Linked DNA regions of Elephas maximus indicus. The protein of the gene in region 2 interacts with the protein of the main gene of each other region in a pairwise test. Links are inferred from orthologs where the notes say so. Each region holds a gene or a part of one and is shown on either strand. Other genes may lie near its edges.

The links.
Region 1: the proteins of BANP (region 2) and TNXB interact in binary tests that used the Homo sapiens proteins (3 or more experiments, as listed by UniProt). The two-hybrid records come from large-scale screens. The link is inferred for Elephas maximus indicus from reciprocal best matches to the Homo sapiens genes BANP and TNXB.

The regions. Positions count from the first base shown.
Region 1 is NC_064819.1:93,588,357-93,598,121, forward strand, and holds the start of TNXB (tenascin-X), read right to left. Parts: upstream 3,986-9,765; 5' UTR 3,804-3,985; intron 1-3,803. Other genes in the region: ATF6B (cyclic AMP-dependent transcription factor ATF-6 beta), read right to left, coding at 6,071-6,300, 6,811-6,895, 7,034-7,145, 7,346-7,416, 7,631-7,712, 7,930-8,037, 8,190-8,369, 8,816-8,907 and 1 more. UniProt on the Homo sapiens protein: Appears to mediate interactions between cells and the extracellular matrix. Substrate-adhesion molecule that appears to inhibit cell migration. Accelerates collagen fibril formation. May play a role in supporting the growth of epithelial tumors.
Region 2 is NC_064839.1:53,409,350-53,418,780, forward strand, and holds the start of BANP (protein BANP), read left to right. Parts: upstream 1-4,623; 5' UTR 4,624-4,722; intron 4,723-5,046; exon of another isoform or gene 5,047-5,566; intron 5,567-9,431. UniProt on the Homo sapiens protein: Controls V(D)J recombination during T-cell development by repressing T-cell receptor (TCR) beta enhancer function. Binds to scaffold/matrix attachment region beta (S/MARbeta), an ATC-rich DNA sequence located upstream of the TCR beta enhancer.

The sequences.
Region 1 (9,765 bases), on a different chromosome or scaffold from region 2:
AGGGAGGGGAGCGGAGATATGGCAGGTCCTCCCATTCCTCCCGCCTGCCAGGCCTCCAGCGTCATCACTTGCCACCCCTTCCTCTCCCCCACCGGCACCCTGGGCCCCTCCCTGTCTAGGATCCTGAGTCCCACCGTACCTTTCTCTTTCCCCTCTAGTCCTAGTTACATCTCCAGGGTCCGTTTCCCACCCCATTTTTACTCCTCCTCCTCGCTCTAATTTTTGCCCAACCTAACATCCCTCATCCCTCTTCTCCCCTTTTTCCCACCATTTCCCCACCTGTTGCCCCTTCTCTCTGACCTGTTTTCTCTACCAACACCCTTCCCCTTGGACAGCCACTCTCCCGCCCTCTGCAGCCTCCCTCCCACCCCTTCCTAGTTGTCAGTGTTCCAGTTTCGACCTTCCCCCTCTGTCGGTTGCCCAGCACTGGCTCCTTCATTCCCCCAACCAATTCTCCCCAAGCAGCTCAGGGCAGGGGGCAGAGGCAGATTGGGGGTGGGAGAAAACCCCCTCCCAAGTCTGAATCCCTCCCACCGTGGACCTTCTCAGGGACTCCAGTCCCCATCTCTGCCCCAGCTCCAGCCCCAATGCTTCCACCTGCGCCTGTCTCTTCCTCCCTTATTTCCTCAGCATGGCCTGTCCCTGTTCTGTCCAGTCCATATCCTGTTCTCAGTTTGGATCACTGCCCCCTTTTCATTCTCCCACCTCAGTAAATACCTAGAGAAATGGCAGGTGAGGTTGGGCAAAGGCTTGCCTGAACTCCAGGGCAAATAAAACTTGGGAAGAAAGTCAGGGCTGGGGGGGAGAAAAGGATGGGAAGCCTAGAGGCTAGGAGGAATTTTTGCCAACCAATAAAGAGCTAGAGGCAGGAGGCAAAAATGGGGGTGCAGTGCATGAAGGTGGGCTAAGCTCTGGAAAGCAGAAGGGGGCTCAAGTTTGGGAGCTGCAAGGGAACAGGAAGCAGGGGTGGGGAGAGAGCTAGAGGCTAGAGTAAAAGGGCACCTTAGTCTCAGGTGGGACAGGAAGACTGACAACCAGGGGACAGGGCGGACGGAGAGGCAGACACACCCCACATTCAGCTACTGGGCGTTTCTCTGGCCTCATTTCCCCACATACTGCCCCATGGGGGGCAGAAAAGGATACTTTTGTCACCCACCCACCACTGCCGTCAAGTCGATTCCACACACAGAGGAGAAATATCCAGGTTAAGGGACCCTTCCTCAGGCTTCACATTGAGGATAGAGTTCTACCTCTCTGCAAACCTCACCATCGGGGTGTAACTAGACCAGTTAACAGTCTTGAGTGAAAGAAGCCTGCATGTGCCTGATTCTGCCACATGGGCTGGGGCACAGGTGTCTGTGTCCATGTCAGACCCCTGGCGTTGCAGGCGTGGTGGTGTTTCTGGGTCACAACACGCTGGCACAGGATATGGCTGCTGCCAGATGCCCAGTTAGCTCATTGTGACTGAGTGCAAAGTATTCATCAGCTCTCGCGTGGGTGTCCCCGTGTGTGTCCGTGTGTCTGGGTGTGTGGCTGTTTTTTTCCTGGCTTTGATAGGGGGATGAAGTCACCGTCTTGGATGGAGCTGGGCTTAGCTTCCTTCCTCTGCCTTGGCTTGAAGCCCCACAGCCAAGGATAGGTAGCAGCTCCCCTAGGAAGGATCTCTGGGTGGGAGGCAGGGGAAAGTAGATGAAATGGTGATGGAGGGTCTTAGACAGCATCACACAGAGACAGCAGACTGCAGAGTATGGATTTTCTTTGATTTCAATAAATATGTGCCATGGTCACCTTTTTTTTTGGTCCCATTTCCTGGTTTTATTATTTAGTGTATGGTCGCCATAAGTATACTTGGCCCAGAGAGTGGCCAGGAGACCCTGAGAGGAGCAAGAACTAGAAATATAACCCTGGCATGTCTTGGAAGCCTGCTGCTGGGGACTGGATGCTGGAATCTCAGAGAGGGAGTGTATGATTCCAGATGCTTACAACTTTCCGGCCACTCACTGGACGCTTGACGGACATAATTCCAGGTTTTGATAGAAACACTGTCTAAAATCTGATTCACCCTCTGGATTTCGCGCTCTTGCAGGAGCTCGTGTCTTATATACGTTTGTATCTCAGGAAAGCACCGGGGCTTGCATAGAGTAGGTACCCAATAAACACTTGTCAATATTGAGTTGTGAGTTGTGAAAAGACTGTGAGAAAAGGATGGGGAAAGAATGCCTGGTAGGGAGTCACAGGCATAAAGGCAGGGAATCCCTGTGGTCAGAGTGGGGTAGGCCTCACTGCTCTGTCCTCAGTGGAACAGGAAGATTGGGTGTTGTCAAGAACTGTCCATGTGCATTGGCTGTTCTCCGAAGCCTCAGCCCAGGTGTCCTCAGCTCTGAGCTTCTATCCTTGAATGATCCTCCAGGTTCCTGTCCTGACCTTAGGAGGATAAGGAATAAAAGATATAGAAAAGGAAGAAAGGGAAAGACAAGGAGAAAGGAAAGGAAGACACAGAAAAGTAAAGGCAATTAAGGGCAAAGGCCTGAAGGATAGAGAGAGGGGAATGAAGAGAGGCCAGAGGCTGCGATCCAAGGAAGCAGTCCCAGAGAGGGGAAAGACAGAAAGCATTTGTACTGGGCTTCTGTTTACAAAGCACTTCCCTTCACAGTGCAGTATTTTATCAGCCCCACTTTGTGGCTGGGGAAACAGACTTATGGACTTTAACGGACTTTGCTAGGGGTGGTGAAGGTGGGCCTCAACCAGGTTTTCTGATCCCAAAGCCTGTAGTCTCTCCCCTCACCCAGCAACAGCCCTGGGAAATGACAGGATTGATGACTTGGGGCAGAAATAAATTAAGTGGATTCTTGAAGGACTTGTTTGAGAAGGAAGGGTGGGGAATCTGGATTTTTGAAACTTCTTTCTGCATCCAGTCATTACGTAGATTCAGTTAGAAGAAATTGCCAAGTACAAGACAGGGGGGTCAACGTGCCATTACTGAGAGCTGAGGAGGGGTGCAAGGAAGGGGAACATGGAGAGAAAGGACTGAGCCTGAGATCAAAAACGGAAGAAAACTAAGAGACTAGGGCTGAAAGGGGGGCAAGAGAGCCATGGAAAGAAGGGTTTAGACCCTCAAAACTTCCTTTGCCTGGAGACATGGGTGTGGGAAGAAGGGAGGAGGGAGGACATTTCTATCTTGTGACAAAAGAAAGTCACACAATTGTTTTGTTCTCTGCTCTGGGGCGGGTGGGCGCCCGTATTTACCAGAGGGACTGAGGTCGCTGTGGCAACCACACATCTGGGCCCCGGAATCCAGATGTGCTGTATCCAGAAGCCATAGCATAACGATGAGGCAAACATTAGGTTCCCCAGTCCGGCCCCCACAGCTGGGAAGAGGACAAGAGGACTGGAGTGGAGAAGGGGGGTGGGGACGAAGGAGGAGAGGACTGAAGCGGGGGAGAAGAGAGGAAGTAATGGAAAGGGACAAGGAATGTGGATAAAAGAATGGAAAGGGAAAAGGGGGGTGGTATGAAAAAGAGAGGCAAGCCCAGGGTCAGCAGCAGGAGATGAGAAGACCAAGAGGAAAAAATAGACGGTGAAGCAGAGGAGGAGAAAGGGAAAAATACAAAAGAAGCAAGAAACCAATAAAATGAACAAAGGATCCAAACAAAACCCACTGCCGTCAGGTCCATTCCAACTCACAGTGACCCTACAGGACAGAGTAGAACTGCCCCATAGGGTTCCCAAGGCTGTAAATCTCTAAGGAAGCAGACTGCCCCATCTTTCTCCTGCAGAGCAGCTGGTGGGTTTGAACCACTGACCTTTTGGTTGGCAGCTGAGCGCTTGACCACTGCACCACGAGGGCTCCTTGAACAAAGAATAAAGGGTCAAAAAGAGGTGTTAACTCATAGTGAGGGAGAGAGCAAAGAAAGGCAGAAAAGTCTAGAGAAAGGGAGAGACTATGGGGTCAGGGATGATAGAGAAATCAACGGCGGGGATCCTGAGGACAGAAAACAGGAGGTGGTAGCACAAGGAAAGCAGGAGAAAAAAGATATGAGGGCCCAGGACAAAGAGGCCGATGAGGCAAAGGGCACTGGCCTGGCATGCTGAAGTGGCCTTGGATGGGGTGTGTGGCCTGAGGAATGGAGGTCTACACGGGTTTGGAAGAAAGCAACCCAGAGCTTGACCTGCCTTCCCCCGACAGTATGTATAACCAGTCGCCATGCCTCCTTCCCACCACTCCACTCCCTCAGCCAAGAGAGACCAGGCTCCTACTTCACACTCAAGTGCCGGCTGCCTTTGCTACTCAGCAGAGGTGCGACCCACCACACCCTAGAGCCTCCAGTCTGAGATGCCAGCACTTCAAGCACTTTCCTGAGCTGGGGTCAAGGAGGAGAAAGAACCATGGAACCCAGATGGGAACAATGCAGGAAGAAAAGGGCACTGTAGAGGAGGAGAGAAAGGAGCAAGGCATAAGAAAAAGACATGTCTACTGCGGACCAGGCTTTGCGAACGTCATCTTGTTTATTCTCATGTCTGCCCTGAGGTCAGAGTTTCCCATTTTATAGATGGGGAAACTAGGACTCAGGGTGTTAGTTATACATCAAGGACATTCACCAACAAAAGGCAAGGCAGGGAATCCAATTCAGGTGATCTGTCTCCAAAATCCTTGTTTATGCATTACACCGCCTGGTTAAGGCTGGGATCACCCCCAGGGACCCTGGGACAGGAAGCGTGGGTTGAGCAACCCAGGGCTGCCCTCTTGAGGGAGAAGAGGCCTAGTTCCTGGGAGCCCCAGTTCCAGGTCACCATAGTGACTTGGTCTGTTTTCACCCCAAACACAGTAATGAGCTGGGGGAGAGCCTGGCTGGACACGTGAGGTCCTTCAGGCCGGGCTTCTGGCCCGGGCGGCCCCTGTCCAGTCATCTGGGCCCTGAGCCCAGGCCCAGCCAACACCCTCCAGCTGACCCAGGACAAGCCTGCAGGGTCAGGCCTGAGGCGCTGCTGGCCAGGCACCCCCGCAGGTTGGGACTGATTCTTAGCCCCTCACCCTTTTCCTGCTCCCCTTCCCCGTAATCAGAATATTCAGCCTGTTGTTCCAGACCTGCTCATGTCCTTTCCTTTCCCCTGGACTCTCAAGTCTGCCTCCTCCAGCTCAGAGTTAAGAGGGTGCCCCCCAATATCCTCCCTCCAGAATACCACCTCCCTCTCCACTGTGGCCCTCCTTCCAGGCTCAGAGCCCTCTGGCCCCAGCTCCTGTTGTTTGTTTGAGCTGTTCACCCTGGAAAGCAAGGGGAGGGAGGGGAACCTACTGTAGAGCAGGGGACCCAGAGAAGCTGTTCACCCTGAAGGGTGTGGGGCCCCCTGTCCTTCCTGTTTACTCACATTCCAGAGATCTGTATCTCCTGATCTATCAAACCATGAGGCATCCCACCCCCCCCACCCCCACCCTGTAATTCCCTGCTAGACACAGGCATACCCAGTTGCAGGGGAGGGGGCAAGGAGATGACATGTGGTCTGTGATTCTATACCCATCCTATCTCTGGGCCAGCTGTGTCTTCAGTGCTTGGTTCTTTGATCCTGGTCCCTATCAAAACCACCTTCCTCCAAACTCCCCGACCCCAGTCAGGAAGGCAGTCACTATTCCTTCAACTCCCTTTGTTTATTTAATAATAAAAAAGAAGACATGCACACACATAAACCTGATCTCCCGCCAGCATCCCTCCTTTACTCCCAGTAACTAACTCCAAAATGTAAAACTTCCCTTGTCCCACCTGAGGACTCAGTTCCCATTCCTCAGACAGACAAAAAAAGGATAAAGAGTATGCAGGAGCCCACCCTCAAACTTAATGCCCTCAAAGGAAGAAGCAGGGACTGAGGGTCCACTGAAATGAAAGGAGCCCTATATACCGAAGAGGGAGTGAGAGGAGAGGTAAATCCCTCTACCTCCAAATTAGTGCTTGACCCCACACCCTGTCTTTCCTTGACTGATTGCCCCAAGCCCAGGGAGCAGGGAAATGAGCAATATTCCCGCTTGGTCACCCCCAGCCCCCACTCCCCAATTTGAAGTCAGTGTGAGCTGTTGAGGTCAGGGGTGATTGAGGTAGAGGGGTTGGTGGGAGGCCTGGTGGGCCTGGCTGGCTGTAGAAGCTGGCAAGGGGCCCCCTGTGGCATTGCCGGGGGTCGGGGACGGCTGCTTTCGGAGCGAGGGGGGCACCGTGGAGGTCTTGATGTGAATCACCCTGGTGTCCATGACCTCGCACTCGATCTGCATCATCTCCTCATAGTCCCCTGGGGCTCCGCGGCCCGAAAGGGTCTCTGTGAGAAGGGGAAAGGCAAGGGAGCCGAGGAGGGGAGGCATACAGAGGAGGGACCAGGAAAGCAGAGGTGAACAGGAGGAAAAGATGGGCGAGGAGGAGGCAGCTCCATGGGAGAGTTGAAGGGGACAGCAGGGATGGAGTATGGCGCAGCGAGAAAGAAAGAAAATGACATAGATGAGAGTGGAGTCATACAGGTGAAGGAGTCAAAAGGAAAACTGAAGTGAGGGTCTGGCAGGTTCCCAGGCCGCCCCCCTCTGCCCAGCCACCTACCCAAGCACCTTGGGCAAAGGAAAACCAGCACCCTTGTCTTCCTCCCATCAAACTCTCCTCAATTATTTCTCTCCACCCATTTCCTGCTTCTTCTCATCTATGAGTCTAGCACTTCTCTGGGATATTCCATTCCTCTCCCTAATTCCCCCCTCAGCTCCTCATGCTGGATCTCCCCATCTGGACTTCCCCTTTCCTCAATCTCAGGACCCCTTCCCACACCCTGCAGGGAACGAATTACCATTGGGGGCCATGGCAGGCATCACCAGAGACATCTTAGGCCGGGAGGTCTTATTGTGGCTGATGGCTGGGAGCAGCAAGTGGTCCTGGGAAAGAGGGGCCAGGCCAGGAGAATGGAGGAAAACATACCAACAGGTTCCCTGGCCCTACTCTATACCATCCCTCTGAAAGTAGACTGCTGGACAACTTAGGAGGATGGAGATGGGGCAGGGAGGAAGACTCACCCTTCGAAAGGAGACAACATAAAATGTGTCTTCCCGTCGGTCGATTGCATCCAGGAACTCTGGCTGGGAACGGTCTGGGTGGCGATACAGCTGCAGTTGGCCCACAGAACCCCTAGGCAGGTGGGAAACAGGATTTGGGGGTTCCCACTACAAGCAGGGGGAAAAGGACGAGAGAAAGAGACAGGAGGTCCCAAAGGATAAGGGAGCATAATCCCGTGGGTGAAACAACAGGGAGCACAGGACAGCTCCTGGGGCACAGCTATTTCGAGTGGAGCGTTGGTTAATCAATAAGTACCCCCTTCCTATACTCACCTTTCTGGGGGCCCCAGTGGTCGAGTGGGGACTGCTTTAACTGGAGGCGACTCCTTCCGTAGCTGAGACTTCTGGAAGGAGAGGTTTCTGAGGATTTGGAGAGGGTGAAGGGAGAGGGGAAACAGAGAGCCAGCCCCTGGAAGCTGATGCCACCTCACACCCACCCCACCACTTCCCCTAAACAATCCCTCACACCAACCCACTATACCCACTCAAAATCCCCAGGACATTTAGCCCTTGTCTTCATGTGGCCATCCTCGAACCAGCCAGCCCCACCCCTCCTACCTGTCTCTCTTGGGCCCTTTGAGGGATCTTCCGCCGGCCTCTCTGGTGGCGCTGGACCCAGCCACTCAACTCATCTGCAAGCCTGGGGAGGCAGAGAAGAGTTCATGCTGCCATGCCAGGCCAAGACTCCCACTTTCCTTGCCTGCACACAGGAGTGAGACAAGAGGGCAAGGAGAGCTGGTGCTTCAGCACAGGAGGACAGCCAGACCACCTGTGGAGGGGCCTCAGGGAGGAGGGAGGGAGGCATGCAGGGAGGGCAGGGGCGGAAGCGCTCAGCCTCAGCCATAAATCCCCCACACCTCAGGGACTCCGTTCGGTTAAAGTGACGGCAATCGGAGGAGAGAAAGAGCTGGTCCAGGTCTCTCAGTAGCAGCTCCTTGGCACCCCCAGGGAAGGCTGTCAGATTCCTGGAGTGAGGCCAGGAAGAAGCAACGATCAGAGATTGCCAGCACTCCCACAATGACAGAGAAGCAAGCAATGACAGCAAGAGAACAGCTCTGGCTCACCCCAAAAAGAAAGGGCACCCCCAAAGGAGAAGGAGCCCTCTTTCGCTCCTCACCTAAAACTCGGTCGGCTTGCAGGGCTGGGCTCGGGCTCTTCAGGCCCCTGGGAGGAGCCCTGGAGGGGTGAGACTCCACGAACTGGCTCTTGCTCTGAGAACTCCAGCAGGTGCCTCCGGAGCCGAGGTTCCTCTCCGCTCACTTGAGGAGAGACAGGAGCCAAAGGAGGCTCACTGATGCTGTGGAGGACAGACAGAGCACAAGGAGGAATCCCTGCTTTAGTGAGTGTCTGGGTAAGAACAAGGGCTCTGCAGGCAGGCTGCCGGGGCCCCAATCTGCTGTACAAACCTGTCTTTCATCTGTAATACAGGAATGAGAACAGTACCTACTTCACAGAGCCAGGACACATGAGAAAAGGAGAGCACTTAAGTTAGAGCCTAGAACTCAGTAAGTGTCTAATAGTCATTATCTTTATCAACATCAGCACCATTATCTCATCCGGGATGTACCATGTATAAGAGAAATGATGGAGCAAGAAAAGGCTGGCTGGAGATACCACTGGTGCCAAGGCGACCACAACTGTCAGCGTGTGAGTGGAATGGGAGTGACTTGCCAAAGCAGGCAAACAGGCGCTGCAAGGTGGGCTCCGCCACAGAAGGTTCCGGGGTGGTGGGGAAGGTCTCACCTGACAGGCCCAAAGTTGAAGGCAATGAAGAGGAGGAAGATCATGATGCAGACCACCTTCCTGTTTCCAGACCCCAACTTGAGCTCACTGTTCTAAGATGCAAAGGAAGAGATAAGAAGGAGGGTAAGGCATTCCCTCGGAACCGGTATTGCTGCTGGCCCTCCATGGACAGACCAGCCTTACCTTAGCCAGCAGGGCCTCGAGCTGCCGGCGGAGGGCAGCATTCTCCCGACGCAGCTGCTGGTTATCGGACAGCACCGCCTGCAACCTTGCCTCCAGCCCCTGCAGATACTCTTTCTTCTTCCTGCGGGACTGGCAGGCCGACTCCCGGTTCTTAATCATCCGCTGCTGCCGCTTCAGCAGCTTTGCCTAGGCATCCAGGGGGTCAAAAAGAGAATGAAAGGTGGGTGGGAGACGGGGACCATGGCCCCAGTTCCAGATACTGGCCACCCAAAGCTAACATAGGCCCTTCCCCCGCCTTACCAATCCCTACCTACACACCCAGAGTGGGGTTTTTCCTCTCTACTAAATCAGTCCAGAGAAGAGGTCCTTCTCTCAACCACTCCCTGCTCCTGTTCCTCAAAGCTAGGAGAAGTTACGCTGCAGAAGGAACTTCTTCTATTCTGGTAGAACCTTGGTTCCTCTCCTTGGCGGGTTTCCTTCTTCTGTGTCTTCCTTTTCAAAGCACAAACTTTAACCTTGCTATAATTAAAGAATCCTTTACCTGGTTTTCCCCCAGGAGGCAGCTTCTCTCCCTCCTCCAATTATTGCCTCAACCATAACACAGTGTGACTTCCCTGCTTTTGCTTTACAGGACCACCCGCACTTCACCATCTGCAGCGACAGCAAACCTAAGGACCCTAAAACTTCATGGGGTCGATATTCATACCTAAACAGGGGTCCACATCTTATAGGTCTACTTCCTCACTTTTTGTTCCTAGTTCTCAGCT
Region 2 (9,431 bases):
TGGAGGATAAATACATCATTACATAACTGCCAAGCCACTGAGAATTATTGCCCAGCCAAGCTGACACATAACCTTAACCATCACAGCAATGTTATTCACAATCTGTTATGATTCACACAGCTGAATGCCTTTGCGTGGTCAATAAAACACCAGTTCACATCTTTCTGGTATTCTCTGCCCTCAGCCAAGATCCATCTGGTATTGACAATGATATTCCTTGTTCCAGGTCCTCTTCTGAATCCTGCTTGAATTTCTGGTAGTTCTCTGTCGATGTACTGCTGCAACCATTTTTGAATTATTTTCAGGAAAATATTACTTGCATGTGATGTTAATCATTGTTGTTGTTGTTGGGTGCCGTTGAGTTGGTTCTGACTCATAGCGACCCTATGCACAACAGAACGAAACACTGCACCATCCTTACAATTGTTGTTATGCTTCAGCTCATTGTTGCAGCCACTGTGTCAATCCACCTTGTTGAGGGTCTTCCTCTTTTCCGCTGACCCTGTACTCTGCCAAGCATGATGTCCTTCTCCAGGGACTAATCCCTCCTGACAACATGTCCAAAGTATGTAAGACGCGGTCTCGCCATCCTTGCCTCAAAGGAGCATTCTGGTTGTACTTCTTCTAAGACAGATTTGTTTGTTCTTTTGGCAATCCATGGTATATTCAATATTCTTTGCCAACACCACAATTCAAAGGCGTCAACTCTTCTTCGGTCTTCCTTATTCATTGTCCAGGTTTCACATGCATATGATGTGATTGAAAATACCATGGCTTGGGTCAGGCGCACCTTAGTCTTCAGGGTGACATCTTTGCTCTTCAACACTTTAAAGAGGTCCTTTGCAGCAGATTTACCCAATGCAATGCGTCTTTTGATTTCTTGACTGCTGCTTCCATGACCGTTGATTGTAGATCCAAGTAAAATGAAATCCTTGACAACTTCAATCTTTTCTCTGTTTATCATGATGTTGCTCATTGGTCCAGTTGTGAGGATTTTTGTTTTGTTTATGTTGAGGTGCAATCCATACTGAAGGCTGTGGTCTTTGATCTTCATTAGTAAGTGCTTGAAGTCCTCTTCACTTTCAGCAAGCAAGGTTGTGTCGTCTGCATAGTGCAGGTTGTTAATAAGTCTTCCTCCAATCCTGATGCCCCATTCTTCTTCATATAGTCCAGCTTCTCATATTATCTGCTCAGCATACAGATTAAATAGGTATGGTGAAAGAATACAACCCTGACACACACCTTTCCTGACTTTAAACCAATCAATATCCCCTTGTTCTGTCCAAACAACTGCCTCTTGATCTATGCAAAGGTTCCTCATGAGCACAATTAAGTGTTCTGGAATTCCCATTCTTCGCGATGTTATCCATAACTTGTTATGATCCACACAGTCGAATGCCTTTGCATAGTCAATAAAACACAGGTAAATATCCTTCTGGTATTCTCTGCTTTCAGCCAGGATCCATCTGACATCAACAATGATATCCCTGGTTCCACGTCCTCTTCTGAAACTGGCCTGAATTTCTGGCAGTTCCCTGTCAATATACTGCTGCAGCCTTTTTTGAATGATCTTCAGCAAAATTTTGCTTGCGTGTGATATTAATGATATTGTTCTATAATTTCCACATTCGTTTGGATCACCTTTCTTGGGAATAGGCATAAATATGGATCTCTTCCAGTCAGTTGGCCAGGAAGCTGTCTTCCATATTTCTTGGCATAGATGAGTGAGCACCGCCAGTGCTGCATCTGTTTGTTGAAACATCTCAACTGATATTCCATCAATTCCTGGAGACTTGTTTTTTGCCAATGCCTTCAGAGCAGCTTTGACTTCTTCCTTCAGTACCATTGGCTCCTGATCATAAGCCACCTCTTGAAGTGGTTGAACATTGACTAATTCTTTTTGGTATAATGACTCTGTGTATTCCTTCCATCTTCTTTTGATGCTTCCTACATCATTTAATATTTTCCCCATGGAATCCTTCACTATTGCAACTCGAGGCTTGAATTTTTTCTTCAGTTCTTTCAGATTGAGAAACCCTGAGTGTGTTCTTCCCTTTTGGAATTCCGTCTCCAGCTCTTTGCACATGTCATTACAATACTTTACTTCGTCTTCTTGAGCTGCCTTTTGAAATCTTCTGTTCAGTTCTTTTACTTCAGCAATTCTTCCTTTTGCTTTAGCTGCTCAACGTTCGAGAGCAAGTTTCATAGTCTCCTCTGACATCCATCTTGGTCTTTTCTTTCTTTCCTGTCTTTTCAATGACCTCTTGCTTTCTTCATGGATGATGTCCTTGATGTCATTCCACAACTCATCTGGTCTTCAGCCACTAGCATTTAATGCGTCAAATCAATTCTTCAGATGGTCTCTAAATTCAGGTGGGATATACTCAAGGTCATGTTTTGGCTCTCGTGGACTTGCTCTGATTTTCTTCAGTTGCAGCTTGAACTTGCATATGAACAATTGATGGTCTGTTCCACAGTCGGCCCCTGGCCTTGTTCTGACTGATAATATTGAGGTTTTCCATTGTCTCTTTCCACAGATGTAGTCAATTTGATTTCTGTGTGTTCCATCTGGCGAGGTCCATGTGTATAGTTGCCGTTTATGTTGGTGAAAGAAAGAATTTGCAATAAAGAAGTCGTTGGTCTTGCAAAATTCTATCATTCGATCTCCAGCGTTGTTTCTATCACCAAGGCCGTATTTTCCAACTATTGATCCTTCTTCTTTATTTCCAACTTTCACATTCCAATCGCCAGTAATTGTCAATGCATCTTGATTTCACGTTCGATCAATTTCAGACTGTAGCAGCTGATAAAAATCTTCTATTTCTTCATCTTTGGCCCTAGTGGTTGGTGCATAAATATGAATGATAGTCGTATTAACTGGTCTTCCTTGTAGGTGTATGGATATTATCCTATCACTGGCAGCATTGTATTTCAGGATACATCTTGAAACCTTCTTTTTGACAATGAATGCAACACCATTCCTTTTCGAGTTGTCATTCCCAGCATAGTAGACTGTATGATTGTCTGATTCAAAATGGCCAATACGAGTCATTTCAGCTCACTAATGCCTAGGATATCAATGTTTATGCGTTCCATTTCATTTTTGATGATTTCCAATTTTCCTAGATTCATACTTCGTACATTCCAGGTTCCAATTATTAATGGACATTGACAGCTGTTTCTTCTCATTTTGAGTCATGCCACATCAGCAAGTGAAGGTCCTGAAAGCTTTACTCCATCCACGTCATTAAGGTCGACTCTACCTTGAGGAGGCAGCTCTTCCCCAGTCATCTTTTGAGTGCCTTCCAACCTGGGGGGCTCATCTTCTGGCACTATATCAGACAACGTCCCACTGCTATTCATAAGGTTTTCACTGGCCAATTCTTTTAGAATTAGTTCTCCATGTCCTTCTTCCTAGTCTGTCTTAGCCTGGAAGCTCTGCTGAAACCTTTCTAGCATGAGTGACCCTGGTGGTATTTGAAATACCGGTGGCATAGCTTCCAGCATCACAGCATCATGCAAGCCACCACAGTACAACAAACTGACAGATGAGTGGTGGATGTTATAGGAATCCCTGGGTGGTGCAAACGTTTAATATGCATGGCTGCTAAGTGAAAGTTTGGAGGTTCAAGTCTACTCAGAGGTGCCTGGCTTTCTAAAAGTCTGCTTCCAAAAAAATCAGCCATTAAAAACCCTGTGGAAATCTTTAAACCTTATTCCAAATCCATCCCCTGAAGTCATCTTTAAACCAAACAATAGTTTAGCTTAATTTAGTTAATGATGTCTGTCTTGAGCATTATGCTCTTTTAAATTATTTCTACGTGATCAAATTGACAACAGCAACTAGAAAGGTTAGATGAGAAACTTAGGGGGCATTGAGTTTACATTAATGGTGCTGGAATAATTTGGAAAAGGATTGTGAGAATGGTTGCACAACTTGAAGAATGTAATCAACATGAGTGAAAGTACATGTAGAAATTGTTGATTTATGTTTTGTTGTGTATATTTTCACCAAAAAAACAGCGTGTGCACTCAATATTGTCTGGACAGGCACGATGGCACCTTGAACACTATCTATTTGTTGGAAAAATTCCACCCAATGATTCAGGAATATCAGAGGAAAAAGGTCAGCACGAGGCCGGATCCGGAGGGGTGCTTAATGAACTACAAGTCCCAACAGGCCAGGGAGCGGGTACGGGACGGGGCGCCCAGAGTACGGAGAGACTACAACTACCAGCAGGCAAGGTCCAGACGGTGAGACTACAAAACCCAGAATGCACTGCCTGCGGCGTGCGCAGGGAGCCTCGGGATGTGTAGTCCCCCGGAGGACTAATGCCCATTTACTGGCTCTCAAACGGAAGGCAAACTCCTCAAACGTTCCGCTGAAGCGCCCATCACGGGGCAGCAGAGAGAACGAGGGCGTGAAGAAGAAATAAAAAGCCCAGAAACCACAACCGGGGCGTGGGAGAAAAACGCCCGCGTACGCTCACTCGCGGCCCTAGCCGGCGATTGGGCACGCGGGGGCACTCGCAGGCTAGGCCTCGCCCCCGGGCCCCGCCCCCCGCCTCCTGCGCACCCCGTACGGCTGCGCAGAGCGCGCAGGGCCGCGGACCGAGGGGAGGGCCGCGCAGCGCTTGCGCAGAGCGGCGGCTTCTCTCGCGAGGACGGACGCCATTATCACATCTCCCCGACAAACACCACGAGAATTCCGCAGCCCACACGGTAATTGCAGCTCCCGCAGCCGGTCGCGTCTCCGCCTCCCCCCTTCCCGCGGGGCGAGAGCGAGAGCGAGATCTCCCTCCCGCCCCGCCCGCCGCCGCCGCGGCCCGCGGCCTCCGCCCGGCCGCCCGCGGCCTCCGCCCCGCCCCCGGCCCCGCGTCCCCGTCGCCCGCCGCCGCCGCCAACGGTACCCGCCGCCTCGGCCCGGACCCGCCGCTCGGTGCCCCGCCCGGGCTCCGTTCCGCTCACGGGCCCGGGACTCAGACAGCGGCGGGTCGCCGGGGCCGGGCGCGAGGGGTCGTTGTCCCTTTTCTTTTTTGCCATTACCTGTCGATTTCCCCGTGAACCGCCGTGTGGTAGGTACGGAGGAGAAGCGCTGCCCTGGTTTTGAGCAGGTCGCTGGGTGCTGCCCTGGTGGCGCAGTGGTTAAACGCTGGGCTGCTAACCGAAAGATTGGCGGTTCGAACCCACCAGCCTCTCCGCGGGAGAAAGATACGTCAGCCTGCTTCCGTTGCTTCCGTAAAGATTACAGCCTTGGAAACCCGCTGGGGCAGTTCTACTCTGTCCTGTAGGCTCGCGGCGACTCTAAGGCAGCGGGCTCGCTGCAGTTGTGTGGTGCTGGGGTCGCCCCAGTGCCCCACATATTGCACTCGATGGCCGTGCACTTGGGGTGCGTTAGTTACCCCGTTACCGGCAGAGTCTGAGATGCACCAGTGGGTAGTGGCATTTTACACGCGCATGGCAAGACGTCACCAAGGAGAGCAGTCCACTGCAGCAGCAGCAGAGACCTGGGTGATGCTAGCTGTTGCCCGGCAGGAGATGACATGATTTTGCTTCCGTGGGCAAAACACTTCTCTGGACTTCTGTGTCACCCTCTGCAGACCCAGGACTTCTAGACGGAAAATCTTGTCATGCTTGATTTTACAGTCTTCTAGAAAATCAGAAAAACTTAAAACGTATAAAACCCCAATGAGCTTTGTATGGCATAACTCTTACCCCGTGTTGTAGTTGCTCTAAGTCAGACTTTTAAGTGATTTGCTACCTCCAAAATTACTAATGTGAAGTTGAACTCTTAGAATGTGAAAAGAATTCTGTTAATTTACTGCTGGCTTCACAAAGGAAAATAAGAGGCAGCTTTAGACCTTGGAGATGACCTAATCCAGTGCTCTTACAGATCTTCATGAATGAAGATTTCAGATTTTGACCCCTCACTTTTTGCGGTGTCTGATTTAATCCTTTTGAAGTGCAGCCTTTTTTGCTTTGAATGTTCCCCCCTTACCCCACCCCCACTGCAAAAAATGGAGATTCACACTCCGTCTCACATAGTGGACGCATGGCTATAAAAGAGGACTAACTCTTTTCCCTGACGAGATGGTGGGGTTGTGTTGACACTGGAGAAGTCACTCCCTGAAGAACTGAGAAGTGTGGCACTGCAAGGGTAGTGAGCTTGCCCTACTTTGACTAGTGGAGGGCCCAGGTTAGAGTCTGTTTGTATGGAGCAGGTGGTTTCTCTCTTAGGAGTTACCAGTTCTGCTCTTGGTACCCCAGGTGTGTTAGAGTAGAACTGTACTCCATGGGGTTTTCAGTGGTAGGTTTCTCGGCAGTAGATCGCCAGCCCTTTCTTTCGAGGTGTCTCTTGGTGGGCTGGAACCTCCAACCTTTTAGTTAGCGTTCGAGTGCGTTAACCATTTGCAGCACTGCCATGAGTTGGAATCGCCCTGATGGACAACTAGTTTTTTGGTTCTGCCTTGGAATGTAATCCAAGGCCTAATAGCTTTGGTAAAACTTGTTAGCTGCAGTCAGGTTGGCTCCCCTGACACCTGGTGACCCCTGTGTTACAGAGTAGGACTCCTTCATGGGGCTTTCTTGTCTGTAATCTTTATGGAAGCAGATCGCCTGGCCTTTGTTCCACTAAGATGAACTAGCTGATGCACTTTCTAAGGGTAGAGATGTAACTGGACGTTTTTGAAGAGACAGAAGAATAACTTGGAATAGCCGAGTTGTCCTGAGTGAGGGAAACAACGGGAAGCACGTCAACCGACTATTTAACCTTCAGCTTTTAGGACAGTGTGTCATAGGTGAGCTTAGGATCTGAAGCCTTGGGTATCCAGTGATAAAAGAAAACACCAAAACTGCCTGTACAATCAATCCCATGTATTTAGTTCTTTTTCCCCATTGTCTTGCCATTAAGACGTAAGAATTTGTGTGATATCCAGGGGAATGCTGGATTCTTAACAGCGGCTTTAAGTTTTAAAAGACCGCTCCTTTTATGGGCCCTGTACCGTGTGCTGGGACTGCTGAGCGTTTCACAGGTTTCTCAGCCCAACGATCCTTGAGGTAGACGTTGCCCCATTTTACAGATGACGTGACTTACAGATGACGTGACTGAGGCCCGTAGAGGTTAAGCAGTTTGGCCAAGTCACACACAGCCAGAGTTGGAGCTCAATCTGTGTTTTTAAAACAACAACAACACACACACTTAAAATTTTTACCAACGTAATTTACATAATAAAAACGTCAAGGAAAGGCTCATAATGGAAAGCAGCAGTCCTTCACCCCACTCGTCAGTCCTGCTCCTCACAGACCTAACGCACCTCTTAGTTTCCTCAGGCAGTTCTCTGCAGCCCAACTAATAAGCTGACGTAAGTTCTGTCAGTGTTACCCGGTCCTGACTTTCTGTTATGATAGGGCTCCTCACACCGTAGCCCACCTTTTCTGTCCTCTCCTCTATGCACGTATTGCAGTTCCCATCTTGTACAGCTTTTCATTTTTTCTGTTGTCTGTGATGGCCTTTCTTCTTTGCATTTTTTGCTCCCGCTGACTCCTTATATTGTTTAAATTCTCAAGGGTAGTGTCAAATCTCTGCGACTTCTACCCAAGCCCCTCACTTCCCCCAGTCCTCTGTCCTCTTTTTCTGTCTGGCAGGATACTCCACAAGTATTACTACACCAGTGTCATCCTGGTTGTTTCTTTTGTTATATGTCTGGGTTGGTTCAGGACCAAACCAGGATACAAACCCCTTGCTGTCAAGTTGATTCTGATTCATAGCGACCATACAGGTCAGGGTAGTACTGCCCCATATGGTTTCCAAGGAGCAGCTGCTGGATTTGAACTGCTGACTTTTCGGTTAGCAGCCCATCTCTTAACCACTGCACCACCAGGGCTCTTTGTTTAGGAGGCTGTAATTTAACCTTGGCTTCCTCATTTCAATGGGAGACCTTCTGCCAAGGTGCCTTATCCTTTCTGGGTAACTTTTCCTTCCCTGTAAGTTTTTGGGGTCCTCTTTGGGGTTATGACGGTGTGTCAAGACGTGTGGGCTCTCACTGTGAGAATATTGTTTGGGTCTGAGGCCTGTCCTTCCTCTGGGAAATTCTCTTGTATCATTTGTTCAGGAATTTATTGCGCTCTGATTTTCTCGTCTCCCTTTTAGGATTTCCCTTAGTTTAATGATGGGTGCCTTGGAGACCCTCAGAATTTTTGTTTGTGTTGTTTTTATTCTCCTTTCTGAGAGGGCTATAGTTTTACCTTCTGATCCTGTTTAAAATTTTAACTTCTATCATTATTTCCAATGATTGTTCTTTTCCTTTTTCACAGCAACTCACTGTTTTATGAACGTGTTCTCTCTCTGACTGAGGATACGGATCAGGATTTTTTTCATTTCTGTCTTTTGATTGATACTTCCTCTGGTATCACTTCCTTTGTTTAATATTGCCTTCTTGCCTTCATATGGAAAAATACTCCTTAAACATTGGTACTTATAGTTGCCCAGGTTTAAGAAGTGAAAAAAAAAAGTGAAGCAAGAGAAAATGCGCCAGTTGCCCTTTGGGTGAGTGGGGGGCTCGTCATTGTGCTGGGGACCCTGAATGCTAAGTGCCAGAGTTATTTTCTCTTGGCCTTTCGGCAACTTTGAGGAAGACCCTTCTGCCTCTTTGCTTGGGGGCTGCTCTACTTTGTCTGCAGGGGCCTTTGGAGAGTCCTTCTGTGTGCAATGACCCCAGTTCCCTTTACAGGCTGACCTCTCCCCGTCCTGTGTCAGCTCTGTGTTTTGGGTCATGGGCTGCTGCAGGCTCCCTTGAAGCTTGAGTCCCTCATTGGTGAGACCAACTCCTTGTGGGATTATTCAGTGATCCTCCAAATCCTCTCGTGAACTCTCACCTGCCCCTCTTCTTTTTTCCCTTGTGCGCTTATGCTGTCTTAAAAACTTTTTATGGGAGGAGCTGAGATCACCTGTGCTAGCCACTCATCTGGGACAGGAATTCTCCCAGCCCCTCGGCTCTCCTGCCCTCTCGTGGCCTTGGTGGTACTGCGACCTGTCAGCCAGCCGTCAGCCCCTGGCTGTGCAGTGGGGGTGCAGTTACTGCTGCCTGTTCTTCTGGCCTTGCAGCCTTACGGGTGTGCCAGGCTCACTGGAGGAGACCAGTCGCAGAGAGTGTTACAGCGCATTTGTGATTTCATCATCCTCTGCTGGCTTCTCAGTGCACTGAGGGACAGGGCAGTGGCAGTGGGTAAGAGCTCAAAGCATGACTGATCGTCACTTTTGAAAGTGTACGTCAGCAGCTTCGTTTGCCGAGGGCTTGCTGGCAAAGTGGTCCGGGGGCCAGCTGCTTCAGCATCACTGGGAATTTGTAAGAAACGCAGAATCTCAGGCCCCACCTTGACCTACGGAACCAGAACAGGTGTCTTTCTAAACTTCTTTTTTATGTTTTGAAGTA